Macaca fascicularis: one gene and its partner. The protein of the gene in region 1 binds, or shares a complex with, the protein of each later gene. Links are inferred from orthologs where the notes say so. Each region holds a gene or a part of one and is shown on either strand. Other genes may lie near its edges. The genes, in order: TAF11 and transcription initiation factor TFIID subunit 13.

Region 1 (7,822 bases):
TTCTTATCATTCCCCATTTCAAAGCTCTCACTTGACCACACAAATTTAATAAATTTTTCTTGGTATTTAAATTTTCTTTTATAAACTCAAAAGAAAATAAAACGATTAATACATTATGGCTGGGCATGGTGGCTCACGCTTATAATCCCAACACTTCAGAAGGCCAAGGTGGGAGGATTTCTTGAGGTCCAAGTTTGAGACCAGCCTGGGCAACATAGTGAAACCCTATCTCTAATGTTATGTTACAGTACGTTACGGTTGTTTTTTTTTTTTGTTTTTTTTTTTTTGGGACAGAGTCTTAATGTGTTGCCCAGGATGGAGTGCAATGGTATGATCTCAGCTCACTGCAGCCTCTGCCTCCTGAGTTCAAACAATTCTCATGCCTCAGCCTCCCGAGTAGCTGGGACTACAGGCATGTACCACCATGCCTGGCTAATTTTTGTATTTTTAGTAGAGACAGGGTTTCACTATATTGGCCAGGCTGGTCTTGAACTCATGACCTCAAGTGATCTGCCCGCCTCAGCCTCCCAAAGTGCTGGGATGACAGGCATGAGCCACTGCGCCTGGCCTCTATTTAAAATTTTTTTTTTTTTTTTTGAGATGGAGTTTCACTCTCATTGCTCAGGCTGGAGTGTAGTGGCAGGATCTCTGCTCACTGCAACCTCCACCTTCCGGTTTCAAGTGATTCTCCTGCCTCAGCCTCCCAGGTAGCTGGGACTACAGGTGCCCGCCACCATGCCTGGCTAATTTTTGTATTTTTAGTGGAGACAGGGTTTCACCATGTTGGCCAGGCTGGTCTCGAACTCGAGACCTCGTGATCCGCCCGCCTTGGCCTCCCAAAGTGCTGGGATTACAGGCCAAAAAATTTTTTTTCAAACAATTATGTTACAGCATAGAAAATATAAATAGATAAAAAGATGTCCGGGAGCGGTGGCTCACACCTGTAATCCCAGCACTTTGGGAGGCTGAGGCGTGGGCGGATCACCTGAGGTCAGGAGTTTGAGACCAGCCTGGCCAAGATGGTGAAACTCCATCTCTACTAAAATTACAAAAAATTAGCCAGGCGTTGTGGTGGGTGCCTGTAGTCCCAGCTACTCGGGAGGCTGAGGTAGGAGAATCACTTGAACCCAGGAGGCAGAGGTTGCAATGAGCCAAGATTGCACTACTGCATTCCAGCCTGGGCAATAGAGCCAGACACTGTCTCAAAAATAAATAAATAAAAATAAATAGATAAGAAGAAAAAAGAATCACCTTACCACAGAGATATATCCTGCTTATGTTAAAAGTTTCAAGATAGTTTCTATACATATATATCTATGAATTGTTTTTTTCACAAATGTCAAATACTGTTTCATAGCCTATTTTTCACATTAGATATGATGAATGTTTTCCATGTCACTAATTATACATCTAGGTCATAGTTTTCTTTTTTTTTTTTTTTTTTTTTTTTGAGGCAGAGTCTCGCTGTGTCGCCCAGGCTGGAGTGCAGTGGCATGATCTCGGCTCACTGCAAGCTCCGCCTCCCGGGTTCACGCCATTCTCCTGCCTCAGCCTCCCGAGTAGCTGGGACTACAGGCGCCCGCCATCACGCCTGGCTAATTTTTTTTTTTTTTTTTGTATTTTTAGTAGAGATGGGGTTTCACTGTGTTAGCCAGGATGGTCTCGATCTCCTGACCTCGTGATCCACCCACCTCGGCCTCCCAAAGTGCTGGGATTACAGGCTTGAGCCACCGCACCCTGCCTAGGTCATAGTTTTCTTAAAAATAGAAATAGCTTTATGACATTTTCTGATTGTAAAAAGTAGTATGGGCTCATTGCAAATAATTCAGAGAATACAGAAAAATAGAAAAAATTACCCATAAACTCACCAGGCAGAGTTCACTCTAAGTATATAGTTGGGTATAGTGTTTGGGTATGTACCTTTTCAAAGTTTTTTTAGATGTTTGATATGTATAGCTAAATATTTTCATGTCAGTAAATTTGCTCATAAATCATAATTTTTAATGGCTACAATCGAATCCCATTATGTTGTTGAACTATAATTTAACCAGTCCCTGTAGTGGTTCTGGTTGGGTATTTGTACTTTTGACATTATGATGAGGATCTTTGGACATATCTTTGCATACTTGTCCATTACTTCCTAAGATAAACTCCTAGAGGTATAATTGCTAATTCAAATAGTATGAACATTTTCAAAGGCTTTTCATATGTATTTCCAAATTTCTCTCCAAAAAGGTGTTGCAGTTCACTCTGCCAGCATGTGTGAGTTTGTGTCCCATATTCTAATACCATTCTTTTTTTAATAGTGGTCTGATTTATGAAAAATGTTATCTATGAAAATAATATTTCCTTAGTTAATAATGTTGTTCCCCCATGTTGGTTGACCATTGGTATTTTTGTAAATTTCCTGTTCATATACTTTGTTCATTTTCAAAAATTGATATGGCCCCTTTATTTGTTTGAAAGAATTATACATTAGGAGTATTACCTGTTTCCACATATTTTGCAGATATTTCTCCTAAATCTGTTAATGTTGAAAACTACTGGTTTGATCATAAATTTGTATATTAAACACCATCAGTGTGAAATTCAGTAAGGTAGAGTCTAACGCTGAAAACACAGTCTGTATAGTAGGATACAGTGACCCAATGTTGTTCTTTTTGTTCACAGGTAAGAAAAGAAGTTTTTATTTTATGTTTTCTCAAATTCCTTTGGAGTAGAAGTATTTTATCTTCATTCCTCAAGGCACCAAGCCTAATGCTATTGACCCCTTAAGAATTCATTTTTGAATTGTCTGAGACTTTTATTGACTTAATAATATCTTTAGTATTCATTCTTACAAGTTAACTTAGTTACCTGGATCTTTGTTTAGAATCCTGGTTTCTTCTTTTTCTGAGGAGCAGCTGAACCGTTACGAAATGTATCGCCGCTCAGCTTTCCCTAAGGCAGCCATCAAAAGGGTAAGGATAGACCACCACACTTCATCTCCATCATGTTTTAGAACTGAACCCAAGGGCCATGTCCATTGGCATTTGAAGTGAGGTGTTAGACAAGTCAGTGGATTATTTAAGTGGGGAAAAAAAAATGCACCTCAGTTATCTTACCTTTTTCTGTGAATTATTTGGTACTGTGTTCCAAAGCCAGTCTTTGACTATTGTAGTCACGGAGTCTTTCTCCTTCTTTCAAGCTGATCCAGTCCATCACTGGCACCTCTGTGTCTCAGAATGTTGTTATTGCTATGTCTGGTATTTCCAAGGTTTTCGTCGGGGAGGTGGTAGAAGAAGGTGAGTAGTGTTGGTTACAAATACTGCGGTGGTCTTATTTTTAAGAATATCTATACAAAGGAGCTTATTAAAGCACCTGTGGGAGTTCTCATTTGCATTTGAAGTTGAGCAAGTGGGGAACCCTGTATTCAGGAGAAATGACCATTATTCCTTGCAAGTTTCAATAACAGATGGCAAGGAACCATCTGGGACTCCCCTCCCTGATTCCTTTCCTCAGCCCAGGGTGACAGAAGTAGACTTTGTATTTTCTGCAGTGGACTTTGCTCATTTCTGCTGCCAAAAGTAAAGATACAAGAAAAGCAATCACAGGGCTGACCTGTGTGGGATGGTGAGTTGTCCCTAATGTTGTGCTCCCTGGGAACTGCCTGCCCCCTTTATTGAGTAAAAAGCCTGGCTGTTTCCCATTGCTACTCTGACTGGTGAAATCTTTTTTTTTTTTTAATTTATTTTTTTAAGCAGGAGATAGATACTTTTAAATTATTATTATTTTTTGAGACAGGGTCTCGCTCTGTCGCCCAGGCTGGAGTGCAGTGGCGTGATCTTTATTTTTTCTTTTAATATTTTTTATGTTTCCTTTTACAAATCACAAATTTAGATGGTGTACAAAATGAGATGGTAACAGTGGTGTGACCATAGCTCACTACCACCTCAAACTCCTAGGCTCAAAGGATCCTCCTGCCTCAGCCTCCCAAGTAGCTGGGACCATAGGCATGCACTACCACACCTGGCTAATTTTTATTTTTATATAGTTATTTGAGACAGGGTCTCACTCTGTCACCCAGGCTAGAGTGCCTTGATCATGCGATCACAGCTTACTGCAACAGTGAGCTCCTGGGCTCGGGTGATTCTCCTGCCTCAGCCTGAGTAGTTGAGACCACAGGTGTGCACCACCACCCCTGGCTAATTTTTAAATTTTTTTGTAGAGACAAGGTTTTGCCATGTTGCCCAGGTTGGTCTCAAACTCCTGGGCTCAAGCAATCCTCCTACCTTGGCCTCCCTAACTGCTGGGATTACAGACATGAGCCACAGCATATGGCCTATAGGAAATATATTTTAAACTGTTGTCTATGATAAAGCCTGTTATGAGATGTTATACTAAAAAAAAATCTTCTCTTAAAAAGGAAAAATGTTTTGGTTTATTTCCTTAGCAAGCTTAAGAAAAGTTAACGAGAATTACAGGACTCAAAAGGATTATGTGATTAGTAAATTATTGTATGATAATCAGACTTTCTCCTTACCCTCTGTTTAGCACTGGATGTATGTGAGAAGTGGGGAGAAATGCCACCACTACAACCCAAACATATGAGGGAAGCCGTTAGAAGGTTAAAGTCAAAGGGACAGATCCCTAACTCGAAGCACAAAAAAATCATCTTCTTCTAGACCAAAGTCTAGAAAGGCCTGTATTACTGATGGAAGAAGTATTGGTTCCAGACTTCCTAGAAGACTGTCTGCACTGGTGCTTTAGTATCTCAGGCCTCCAAGGATTTCATGATGATTTTAACATCTTTCTCAAAACTCTGATATTTGTCACACCTAGAAAGTATGTAGCCTGATTGATACTTGCCTTGACTAAATTTTGGGACCTCTTGGGGGCATTTTGAAGTATTTAACTGTCTTGGCCAGTTGGAAGAAGATGTATGGGCCGTAGGCATCTTCTGGACAGGAGAACTGCTTTCAGAGAGAAAACCTTTCCAAGAGAGTTTTGTTTTGTTTGAGATAGGGTCTTGCTCTGTCACCTAGGCTGGAGTTCAGCGGCATGACTACAGCCTTGAATTCCTGGACTTAAGTGACCCTCCCGTCTCAGTCTCCTGAGTAGCTAAGACTGCAGGCACGCACTACTGTGCCCAGCTAACTTATTTTTATTTTTTTATGGAGATGGGGTCTTGCTTTGTTGCCCAGGCTGGTCGTGAACTCCTGGCTTCAAGCAATCCTCCTGCCTCAGCCTCCTAAAGTGTCGAGGGCTTTAATGGTTTCACATTGAAGTCTGAAGTTGCTAAGACTCAGGTTGTTTCTTACATCTGATTTTAAGTAGATGAAACAACCAGAAACTTACTTGTGATACTCTGCCATGAAGGATGCGGCGATGGCAGGAATAATGGAATAATTGGTGCTTGTAAATATTTAAGATTCTCCTGTGGATTCTGGTGAGTGATCATTAAACTGTTTTCCAACTTGCCCTAGGTGTATTCATTTTCTGTCTAGCTGGTTGGAATGGGAAGTTGATCATTCTTTTTTGGTGTTCCAATACAACTGGTTTTGGCTATTTTGTGGAAATTTGAGCCCTTTTTCTAGTAGAACCATTAAAATTTTATCTCATAAAAGAGTACTTCAAGCACTGTTAAAAACAGTGTAATAATCTTCTCCCCCAAGAGTGAAACGAAAATAAACAATATAAAAGCCCATATATTTCAGATTCTTATCAACAGATACACGACAACCATTATGGTTTAATACATTTAATTTGTTTTTTCAGGTGGTTCACAGAACCAGTACACTCAAGGTTTGACTAGATATTGCAACATTAATATTTCCCAATACTGACCAGGATTCTAGTTCATCAGATACATTCTCATTGTTTTCCTCAAATAGAGGTGAATGAAGTGACCTTTTCTGACAGTGATTAGCAGTAATAAGGCTACGATATGTAATTGGCAATCCCCAAGAATTCTTTCCTCTCTACCATTCAGTGTCATAGGGAGAAGGATTTTGAAGCTGTTCTCTTGTGAAGCTTTCCTGAGCATGTCTTAGTAAAGATTCTAATTCTGTTTAGCACCCTCAGTGGGGGAAGCAGAATTAGATACTAAAAGTGTCTTACATTAAAACCCATGGCTTTAAACATGTACTTAGCCAATGGAGAAGACACTTCAGTGGGGCATTCCACAAAGAAATGCTTTAAGACTCAGGCTACATCTTGAACAAAAATTAATAAACAAAAAAGATACTCTCTCAGCTCTAACAGGAATTTTTTTAGAAGTCGTAGGAACTGTATCTATGGCAGTTAGAGATACTGAATAAGGCTGAAACTTAATAAATACAAGTGAGGAAGATCAAATCCCAAGTCTGGCCACTTAGCAAAGCCTCACTGTTAAAGGTTATCCAGGAGTGTTTCCCCTTGTGCCATGGGGAAGATAATCCCCATTCAATAGCCACTACCTATACCTACCCAGAGGGGCACGGGAATACTCCTATTCTGACAGAAGGTAGGGGAGCAACTAGGTAAAAGCCTTAGTCTCTGAAAGGATAGTGCTTCACACCAGATTCTCTCCGAAACCCTTAGTAATGACTATGACAAATCATGAGGCAATGACACACCTTTTACTGTTCTCAGATCACAAGATGTCATCGAACTAACTTGTGTACCAAAAGTTCAGTTGTTTTCATAGTTTTATGATCTTACTATAACTGATTTCAGAAGTTTAGGCAAATATTAAATAAGAGAGAAAAAAAAAAGCGAGGGTAAAGGTTTGGAATGAAAAGTTCCCATATTACTATGGCAATATTTCAAACTACCTTCTTTCCACTACCACCCATCCCCCAACCCCTGTTTACCACTGAGGGGAAAGTAATCTGAGTCACATGGAAGCATTTAAGTTACAGGGGTATGTGAGGGGTGGTGGTTATCCCTTGGATATTCCATACACGGGAGCCATTCCTTTCAGAACCATAAAAAGCAGACATAAAGGTTGAGGCCCATGGCAAAATGAGGTTCAGATGAAATATATGGTAAAGAGCAGCCATCATGTGAATAGAACCCACCTGTTTTATATCAGGAAAACCAGGTTAATTATTCCAGTGAGTTGAAAACACAATTTGATAGCCTTCCTTGCAGCCCAGTTAAAGAAAAGATTTAAACTCTAGTCCATACACACTAAAGCATATCCCCAGCACATGCATGTAAACAGGAAATGTAGACATCACAGATAATACATAGTTGTAAATGCTTCACAGCTGAACTGGTAATGTGCAGTGGCTGAAGTCTTTGAGGGACAGTGGTGCTCTCTCTCCAAACATTTTCTTGAGGTATTGTTATTTCTTGTTCCAAGTCTTGTAGCTCTAAGGCAGAAATCATAAGCAGTCCAAAAGGGCTGACACTGCTTTTTCCTTGCATATTTTCCTTTATACTTATCCTGAGGACTACCACCACTTCACATTTCTTCATTATGAACAGGAACATGAAATTAGGCAAGCTGATTTTTACTAAAATCCCATGGGATAATAACCCCTATCACATTTCCTGAGGGAGAATTTCAAGACACAATGGCCAAAGCTGCCACATAAGGAAAGCCAGAAATTCTAAGACTCCATTTGTCACATGGACAAGAGCTCTGGACTCCTTTAGAGAGCCAGAGACGTAACTGAGCTCCAGCCATTAAGAGGTTGGCCTTGGTACTTAACTGGATATGTTTTTACTCCCTGCCCACAAGCACAAGTGTAGGTACAAGTATACCAAGAAATGCCTATTTGACATTTTCTTTGCATGGAGGGATGCCAGAGGTATATGCTGGGTGAGGGGAGGAAAGGATAAGAGAATCAGAATA
Region 2 (8,341 bases), on another chromosome or scaffold:
CTGTTTTGGATTCCGTACTTTTTTGCCTTTTTTTTTTAAAAAAAGATAATTTTAGATTTACAGCTGAGTTGCAAAAATAGTACACAGTTCCCATATGCCCTATATTCAGCTTCCCCTTATGTTAACATGTTATACAACCATAGGGAGTCATCAAAGCTAAGAAATTAACATCGGTACAAGTACAGACTTTATTCAGATTTTACGAGTTTTTCCACCAATGTCCTTTTTGTTTCAGGTTCCCATACCATTTAGTTGTCATGTCTCCTTAGTTCCCTCTATTCTCTGACAGTTCGACTTTTTCATCTTTCAAAACCTTGATACCTTTTTTTTAAATGAAACCATTGTTTACAAAAAACCTTGACACTTTTGAAGAATATTGGTCAGTTATCTTGTAGACTATCCCTCAATTTGGGTTTCTTTGATGTTTCCTCGTTAGATTGAAGTTTGACATTACCAGGAAGAACACCAAGGTGATGTGTCCTCTTAATGCATCATATCAGGGGTATATAATGTCAATATACTGTATATTATTAGTGATGCTTTGATCACTTGATTAACATGGTGTCTTCCAGAATTCTCCATTGTAAGTTTACTGTTTTTGTTTAAATATTTCGAGGAAGATACTTTGTCACTAACATTTTGATGGGCAGAATTCACCAGACAGAAAATATATTTCACTGGAAAAGGGAAACTTATTATATGGGAAGTATGTAAACTGTATTTGGCTAAAGGGTCTATAAAGGCATAAACAAATGCCAGATAATGCTTTGAAATTCTATAGGCCTATTGCAACCTCTGCCTCCCAGGTTCCAGTGACTCTCCAGCCTCAGCCTCACAAGTAGCTGGAATTTTTTTTTTTTTGAGAGGCAGTCTTGCTCTGTCACCCAGGCTGGAGCGCAGCGCGCCATCTTGGCTCACTGCAACCTCTGTCTCCTGGATGCAAGCAATTCTCCTGCCTCAGCCTCCCAAGTAGGTGGGGCTACAGGCATGTGCCACCACATCCAGCTAATTTTTTGTATTTTTAGCAGGGACGGGGTTTTGCTGTGTTAGCCAGGATGGTCTCGATCTCCTGACCTCATGATCCACCCACCTCAGCCTCCCAAAGTGCTGGGATTACAGGCATGAGCTACCGTGTCCGGCCCTCGAGTAGTGGAGTTACAGGCACGCATCACCACACCCAGCTAAATTTGTATTTTTATTAGAGACGGGGTTTTGCCATGTTGGCCAGACTGGTCTTGAACTCCCGACCTCAAGTGATCCTCCCACCTTGGCCTCCCAAAGTGCTGGGATTACTGGCATGAGCCACTGTACCTAGTCTCCTGCAAATTTTTTTTTTTTTAAGGTTCACGAAACAGATCTTTCGTCAGTAACCTCTATGAATATTCAGTTAAGATAAGGAGAAGCCTGAAGATTCCAAATTCCTGTCATCACAAACTAATCTCACTGGAAAAAAGGTCTTTGCTAACAACCAACTGAACATCACTCTGGGATGCTCTGGTACAAGGATCCCATTCTTATGCTGATATAATAAGTAAAACCACATAATGGTATAAGGAGCATCAGAGAAATGAAATAAGAAATGTTCAGCTTTAGTGAGGAAACGAAATATGGAAAAGGATTTGGATGGTTAAAAAATAAGAGTGTCTGGCTGGATGTGGTGGCTCATGCCTGTAACCCCAGCAGTTTGGGAGGCTGAGGCAGGAGGATCACTTGAGGGTAGGAGTTTGAGACCAGCCTGGCCAACATGGTGTAACTAGTCTCTACTGAAAATACAAAAATTAGCTGGGTATGGCTGGTCATGGTGGCTCAGGCCTGTAATCCCAGCACTTTGGGAGGCCGAGTTAGGCAGATCATCTGGGTCATGAGTTTGAGACCACCCTGGCTGACATGGGGAAACCCGTTTCTACTAAAAATACAAAAAATTAGCTGGGGCTGGTGGCGAGACAGGGTCTCACTCTTCTATCACTGGGGCTAGAGTACAGTGGCATGATCACAGCTCACTGCAACCTTGAACTCCTGGGCACAAGTGATCCTCCCACCTCAGCCTCCTGAATAGCTGGGGCTATAGGTACACGCCACCATGCCCAGTTAATTGCAAAAAAAAAAAAAAGATATACTGACCCTGTAGTTTCAAGGGCATTTGGGAACTGCTCACATATAACCCCGCCTAAATAAACCATATTCATAAATCTGTGTTGCCTCATCTCTCAATACTTAGATATAACTTTACATAAAGGACCCAGGACTGGAGATGGAGAGCACATTCTCATGCTGTGTTCCAGGGCTTGGCCTGTACCATCAGTAGTAGCAGCAGCTCTCCCTTCCTCTTGTTGCCAAAAAGGGTCAAAAGCATCTACTGAGGGGGTAGGATGCAGAATCAATACATTATAATCTCCATGTCATTATTTATTTTGCTTATTTATTTATTTATTTTGGACACAGGGTCTGGTTCCGTCACCAAGGCTGGAGTGCAGTGGCGCAATCTGGGTTTACTGCAACCTCCACCTCCTGGGCCCAAGCCATCCTCTCACCTCAGCCTCCAGAGTAGCTGGAACTACAGGGGCGTGCCACCATGCCCTACTAATTTTTGTATTTTTTGTAGAGAGAGGGTTTCACTATGTCGCCCAGACTGGTCTTGACCTCCTGGGCTCAAGCGATCTGCTTGCCTTGACCTCCCAAAGTGCTGGGATTACAGACGTGAGCCACTGCATCTAGCCTCCATGTCACTCTAATGTCTTACACTATTCACCACCTTCTTCTTTTTTTTTGAGACAGAGTCTTGCTGTGTTACCCAGGCTGGAGTGCAGTGGCATAATCTTGGCTCACTGCAACTTCTCCCTCCTGAGTTCAAGCGAGCACGTCTGGCTAATTTTTGTATTTTTAGTAGAGATGGGGTTTCATCACATTGGCCAGGCTGGTCTCAAACTCCTGACCTCCAGTGATCCACCTGCCTCAGCCTCCCAAAGTGCTCGGATTACAGGCGTGAGCCACTACACCCAGCTGTTCACCACCTTCTTACTTTGTTCATAGCCTTAGTCCAAAGCCCAAGCCCCAACTCACTTGCTACTCTCCCTCAACACCTGGTGCAGGATCCATTAGTATCTGTGGCTTACAGTCAAAGAAGCCTCTCTTTCTACTGCTGCAAAGGCAAGAGGAAAACTAATGGAGGTATGTTCTTCTGCCCTAAATTAAAACACGAACTACATTTGCTCACCTAAAAAGCAATTTATACACAGACACACATACACACACATATAACTGGGGTTAGGATTGGTACTATCTGATTCAAAAGCTAAACAGAATTTGATAGGCTAGTCTGAGAATATTGTCACTACAGGGAAACATTCAAAGCAATAAATGTACTTGGAAAGGATATGTCCAAAAGTTTTCATCATCTATAACAAAATCATTGTCAAATACTACTTACATTCTTTAGAAAAAAGCCTCTTTCTTTTACCCTGTCCACCTTCTGCACCTCCTCCAATTTCTTCATTTTCTTCCTCAAACTAGAAAACGTATATATAGAAATGTCAAATAATTGCCTTGCATTTGATATTTTAATAATAACAATGTTTTTTCCTTTTCAACAGATAGGCCAGAAAGCCTAAAGGAAGCAGAAAAAAAAAAAAAAAAAAAAAAAAAAAACACAAAACCTTAGCACGTAAGCAGCCTAGGTATCGAGTCCAATTTCCAACTCATCCAAAAATGGCTTCTACAATGTTCCTAACAAATAATCCTACTGCTTCTACGTGTAAGAGTTACAATGACCATAGGTTTTATTTTTAAACAACTAAGGTGGCCTATTGCTACTGTTAAACAGTTGATACTGAATCAAAGTCTACCTTTGTAGACTTTCAATTAAGCAAAACTAATATTTACTAAGCATTTGCATATACGGTGCTAAAAACGTTCCTTAAGTAAGCCCGTAACCCTATTTTGTAACAAGAAAACTGATTGTCAAAGTTAAATAACTTGCTTAGAGAGAATGGAGATTTTGAAATCCAGGCTGTCTGACTTTCAATGCATTCTTTTCCCATTACTTCACAGTAAGTACAGTTTTGTTAACAATTGAACTGTTGGTTCATAGTGAGCGCTAATAGATGTTAGTTTTGACGTCTGATGATTCTGTAAGTGTTTCAGTGTCTGGCAAATAAAGATCAAAATCAAGGGGAAAGGGGTCACAAAACCTACTCTTTCTTCATGTCCTTCCCCACTTTCTAAAATGATCAATCCTTAGGGAGTGAAGTCCCCGAATTCTGTCGGCTGAATTGACTAAGGCAAGCAGATCCGATCCTGAACTCTGCCTCCGCTACTGAGCCCGAAGGAGTGAAGAAAAGAGAGGTTCTGGACACAGACGGTCACTCACGGTGGGGTCTTCTTCCTCATCTGCCATCCCACTAGCCCGCCAACCCACAGCGCCCCGCCGGCTGGTTCTCAGCGGGTTACGCTACTTCCGTCGCCTCACTTCCGGTGACGGGCGGGGCTGGAGCTGGGCCTAGCTGACTGAGGCCTGCGGAAGGACGGTGGTGCTTTCCGGCCTAGCGGCGGAAATGCGACAGTCTTTAGCGGAGGAGGCCGGAGCTCCTCCCTGTAACACTGAAGGAATTGAAAACTAACAAAGAAAAGGAAATCACGGGCTCCGTGGGATGTATCTCGTTGTCACCCTAAATTTGCTACTGCGCATTGAATCACGCCTTCCTGTTTGGGGACTGCGAAGCTATGGATCGTAGGAGGGCTAGCCAGCGGTCCTTTATCTGACATAAATGCTTTTAAATCATTTTAAAGAGTTGTGGTTCCACTGTTTCTAAGCACTATGTTAATTACTGGGGATACTGTGCTTCACCACAAATTTCCAAGAGATGGTGTCCCAAAACTAAGCATTTAAAATTTTGTGAAGGTTTGTTTTTGTGTGTGTGTGTTTTTTTTTTTTTTTTTTTTTTTTGAGACCAAGTCTCACTCTGTCGCCCAGGCTGGAGTGTGCGGTGGCGAAATCCCGGCCCACTGCAACGTCCGCCTATCGGGTTCAAGCGATTCTTCTGCCTCAGCCTCCCGAGTAGCTGGGATTACAGGCGTGCACCACCATGCCCGGCCTCATTTTTGGTTTTTTTTTTTTTTTTTTGAGACGCAGCCTCACTGTCCCCCAGGCTGGAGTGAAGTGGCACAATCCGGGTTCACTGCAGCTTAGACCTGCTGGGCTCAAGCCATCCTCCCACCTCAGCCTCCAAGTAGCTGGGATTACAGGCACACACCACCTATGCTCGGCTAATTTTTGTATTTTTAGTAGATATGGGGTTTCGCCACATCACCCAGGCTGGTCTGGAACTCTTGATCTCAAGCGATCTGCCCCCCTCGGCCTCCCAAAGTGCTGGGATTACAAGTGTGAGCCACCGTGTCCATTGGGGAAGGCTTTTGGTCGGAACAATGGTTGGGAAAACCACAGGCATTGGAAGGCCAGAGCTAGGGATATAAAATATGTGTCCTACAGTGTAACAGATGATGCTACATAAAGAAAATCCCGCAATACACACGATTTCTGAATGTCCTGCTGAACATTCGGTGAGTGAAAAGTAGTTATGTGAGGCTTGAACCTATCTTTGTTAATAAACACAAAGCGGCTGGGCGCGGTGGCTCAAGCCTGTAATCCCAGCACTTTGGGAGGCCGAGACGGGTGGATCACGAGGTCAGGAGATCGAGACCATCCTGGATAACACGGTGAAACCCCGTCTCTACTAAGAAATACAAAAAACTAGCCGGGCGAGGTGGCGGGCGCCTGTAGTCCCAGCTACTCGGGAGGCTGAGGCAGGAGAATGGCGTGAACCCGGGAGGCGGAGCTTGCAGTGAGCTGAGATCCGGCCACTGCACTCCAGACTGGGCTACAGAGCGAGACTCCGTCTCAAAAAAAAAAAAAAAAAAAAAAAAAAAAAAAAAAACACACACACACACACAAAGCATTTTCCCACACTTTTAATGTACGTTGAATTTTCTAGGAATGTTATTGCCCCAAAATTGAATAGTAATTGTATTGTTTTGTTTGGAATTCATTAAGAGTTGTGTACCATTTCAAGAAATAACGTCACCAAAAGCAACATCACTTGTAATAATTTGAATAGTGAATACTGAAAAAAGAACTTTGATTTGAGGAAAGTGAGTTAAATTATTAGGCCCTGAGAGGCATTAAAATGAGAGGCAATCACATCCTACTTGCCCCCTTTTGAGCTATGTATTTATGTCTTAAAACTGCTTGCCATTCCACAAGTATTAGTTATAAATTAGCCTAATTATGCCCCACCAGACACTATATCCCACACCCTATAGCTTGATAATGTTATTTTTGTAAACCAATGAGAATTCCTTAAGGACAACTTTGTGTCAGCCCACTCCCCGTCCTCATTCTTTTCCGTTAAAAATCCACTTGTACCTGCTGCTAATCTTAGAGTGTATTCCGGGCCACTTTATGCTGCTGAGTTGCAATCCTCAAGTCTGGCCCAAATAAACTCTCTATTTATATTAATTTTGCCTCAGCTTCTTCCTTTTAGGTCGACAATACTCACTCAAATCAGTCTGCATTCAAAGTAATTCTACATATAGGTACAAGCATCTGAAATCTTCATTATACCCCCTAGTGCTCGAGTGTTTATATATTGAAACATATGTTGGCTGGGCGCGCTGGCTCACACATGTAATCCCGGCACTTTGGGAGGCCGAGGCGGGCGGATCACCTGATACAGTTTGAGACCAACCTGGCCAACAGAGTGAAACCCTGTCTCTACTAAAAAATACAACAAAAATTAGCTGGGCGTGGTGGTGGGCGCCTGTAGTCCCAGCTACTGGAGAAGCTGAGGCAGGAGAATGGTGTGAACCCAGGAGGCGAAGCTTGTAGTGAGCAGAGGTCCTGCCACTGCACTCCAGCCTGGGCGACAGTATGAGACTCCATCTCAAAAAAAAAAAAAAAAGAAAAAGAAACATATGTTACTATTTTTACTTTACTTTATATTACCTTTATGCCTGACCTCCTGGACACTGGATCACTGGATCCTGTTACGGTATTATGTTATTTTCAAAATTATGTGAGTAGGTAGATATATTAGTTATTTATTGTTGTATAACAAATCACCCCAAAACTTAGTGACTTACAACAAATATTTATCACACAGTTTCTGTGGGTCAGCAATGTGGGTGCGATTTAGCTGGGTGCCTGTTGCTCAAGGTCCCTCCTGTTGCAGTCAGGATGTTACCTGGGGCCACAGTCATACCTCAAGTGTTGATGGAGGAGAATTTGCCAGAGTCACTCACAGGTTGCTGGAGGTTTCAGTTCCTCAAGGTTGTTGGAATAAGGGCCTCAGTTCTTCACCGGATGTTGCCCAGAGGCCTCCTTCAGTTCCTTCCATGTAATCCACTCCATAGGGCAGCTCACAGTGTGCCAGTTGCCTTCCTCCAGAGGATACAAGTGAGAGAACCCAGAAGACAGAACTCACAGGTTTTTTGTTAACTGATTTTGGAAGTGACATCCCATCATTTCTGCCCTATTCTATTCACTAAAAGTGCAGCTAAGGTGGGGTGCAGTGGCTCACGCCTGTAATCCCAGCACTTTGGGAGGCGGAGGTGGGCGGATCACGAGGTCAGGAGTTCCGAGACCAGCCTGGCCAACATGGTGAAACCCCGTCTCCACTAAAAATACAAAAATTGGCCGGGCGTGGTGGTGGACACCTGTAATCCCAGCTACTCAGGAGGCTGAGGCAGGACAGTTGCTTGAACCCGGGAGGCGGAGGTTGCAGTGAGCTGAGATGGCGCCACTGTACTCTAGCCAGGGCGACAGAGTGAGACTCCGTCTCAGAAAAGAAAAAAAGTGCAGCCCAAATTCGTGGAGAGGGGATTACATAAGGGCAAGAATATTGCGCTGGAGATCACTGGGGGCTTTCTGAGAGGCCACCTACCACAGTCAATTATATTATTTTTGAATTTCACTGCACAATAATGGAGACATTGTATTTGTTATTAATATTTAAGGGAGATTGTTGAGCCTGATAGGGTTGAGAACTGCTTTTAGGTAGTGATCCAGTGTCCAAGAGGTCATGCATAAAACATTCATAGTGTCTGTTATCAAGGGAGTAGATAGGTAAAATATGCTGGATGCACAGCATAGAGTACAATGCAGCAATCAGAAGCAATAGATGTAGCAACATGAGAGAACTCGAAAGCAGTTCTAAATTTAAAAAGTAAGAAATAAAATTTATAACATAATATCATTTATAGAAATTAAAAGTACTACTTATTTTACAGGAAAATATAAAAAAGCATAGACATTAAACACATGAGTAAGTTACAGTCTAGGAGAAATGGG

Evidence for each region.
Region 2: TAF11 (region 1) and transcription initiation factor TFIID subunit 13 share a complex: the UniProt entries of both Homo sapiens proteins name them as parts of the TFIID basal transcription factor complex. The link is inferred for Macaca fascicularis from reciprocal best matches to the Homo sapiens genes TAF11 and TAF13.

The regions. Positions count from the first base shown.
Region 1 is NC_088378.1:136,811,822-136,819,643, forward strand, and holds the end of TAF11 (transcription initiation factor TFIID subunit 11), read left to right. Parts: intron 1-2,872; coding exon 2,873-2,960; intron 2,961-3,187; coding exon 3,188-3,284; intron 3,285-4,533; coding exon 4,534-4,664; 3' UTR 4,665-5,460; downstream 5,461-7,822. UniProt on the Homo sapiens protein: The TFIID basal transcription factor complex plays a major role in the initiation of RNA polymerase II (Pol II)-dependent transcription.
Region 2 is NC_088375.1:125,369,893-125,378,233, reverse strand, and holds the start of transcription initiation factor TFIID subunit 13, read right to left. Parts: upstream 4,456-8,341; 5' UTR 4,394-4,455; coding exon 4,367-4,393; exon of another isoform or gene 4,193-4,366; coding exon of another isoform or gene 4,192-4,192; intron 3,605-4,191; exon of another isoform or gene 3,507-3,604; coding exon 3,428-3,506; intron 1-3,427. UniProt on the Homo sapiens protein: The TFIID basal transcription factor complex plays a major role in the initiation of RNA polymerase II (Pol II)-dependent transcription.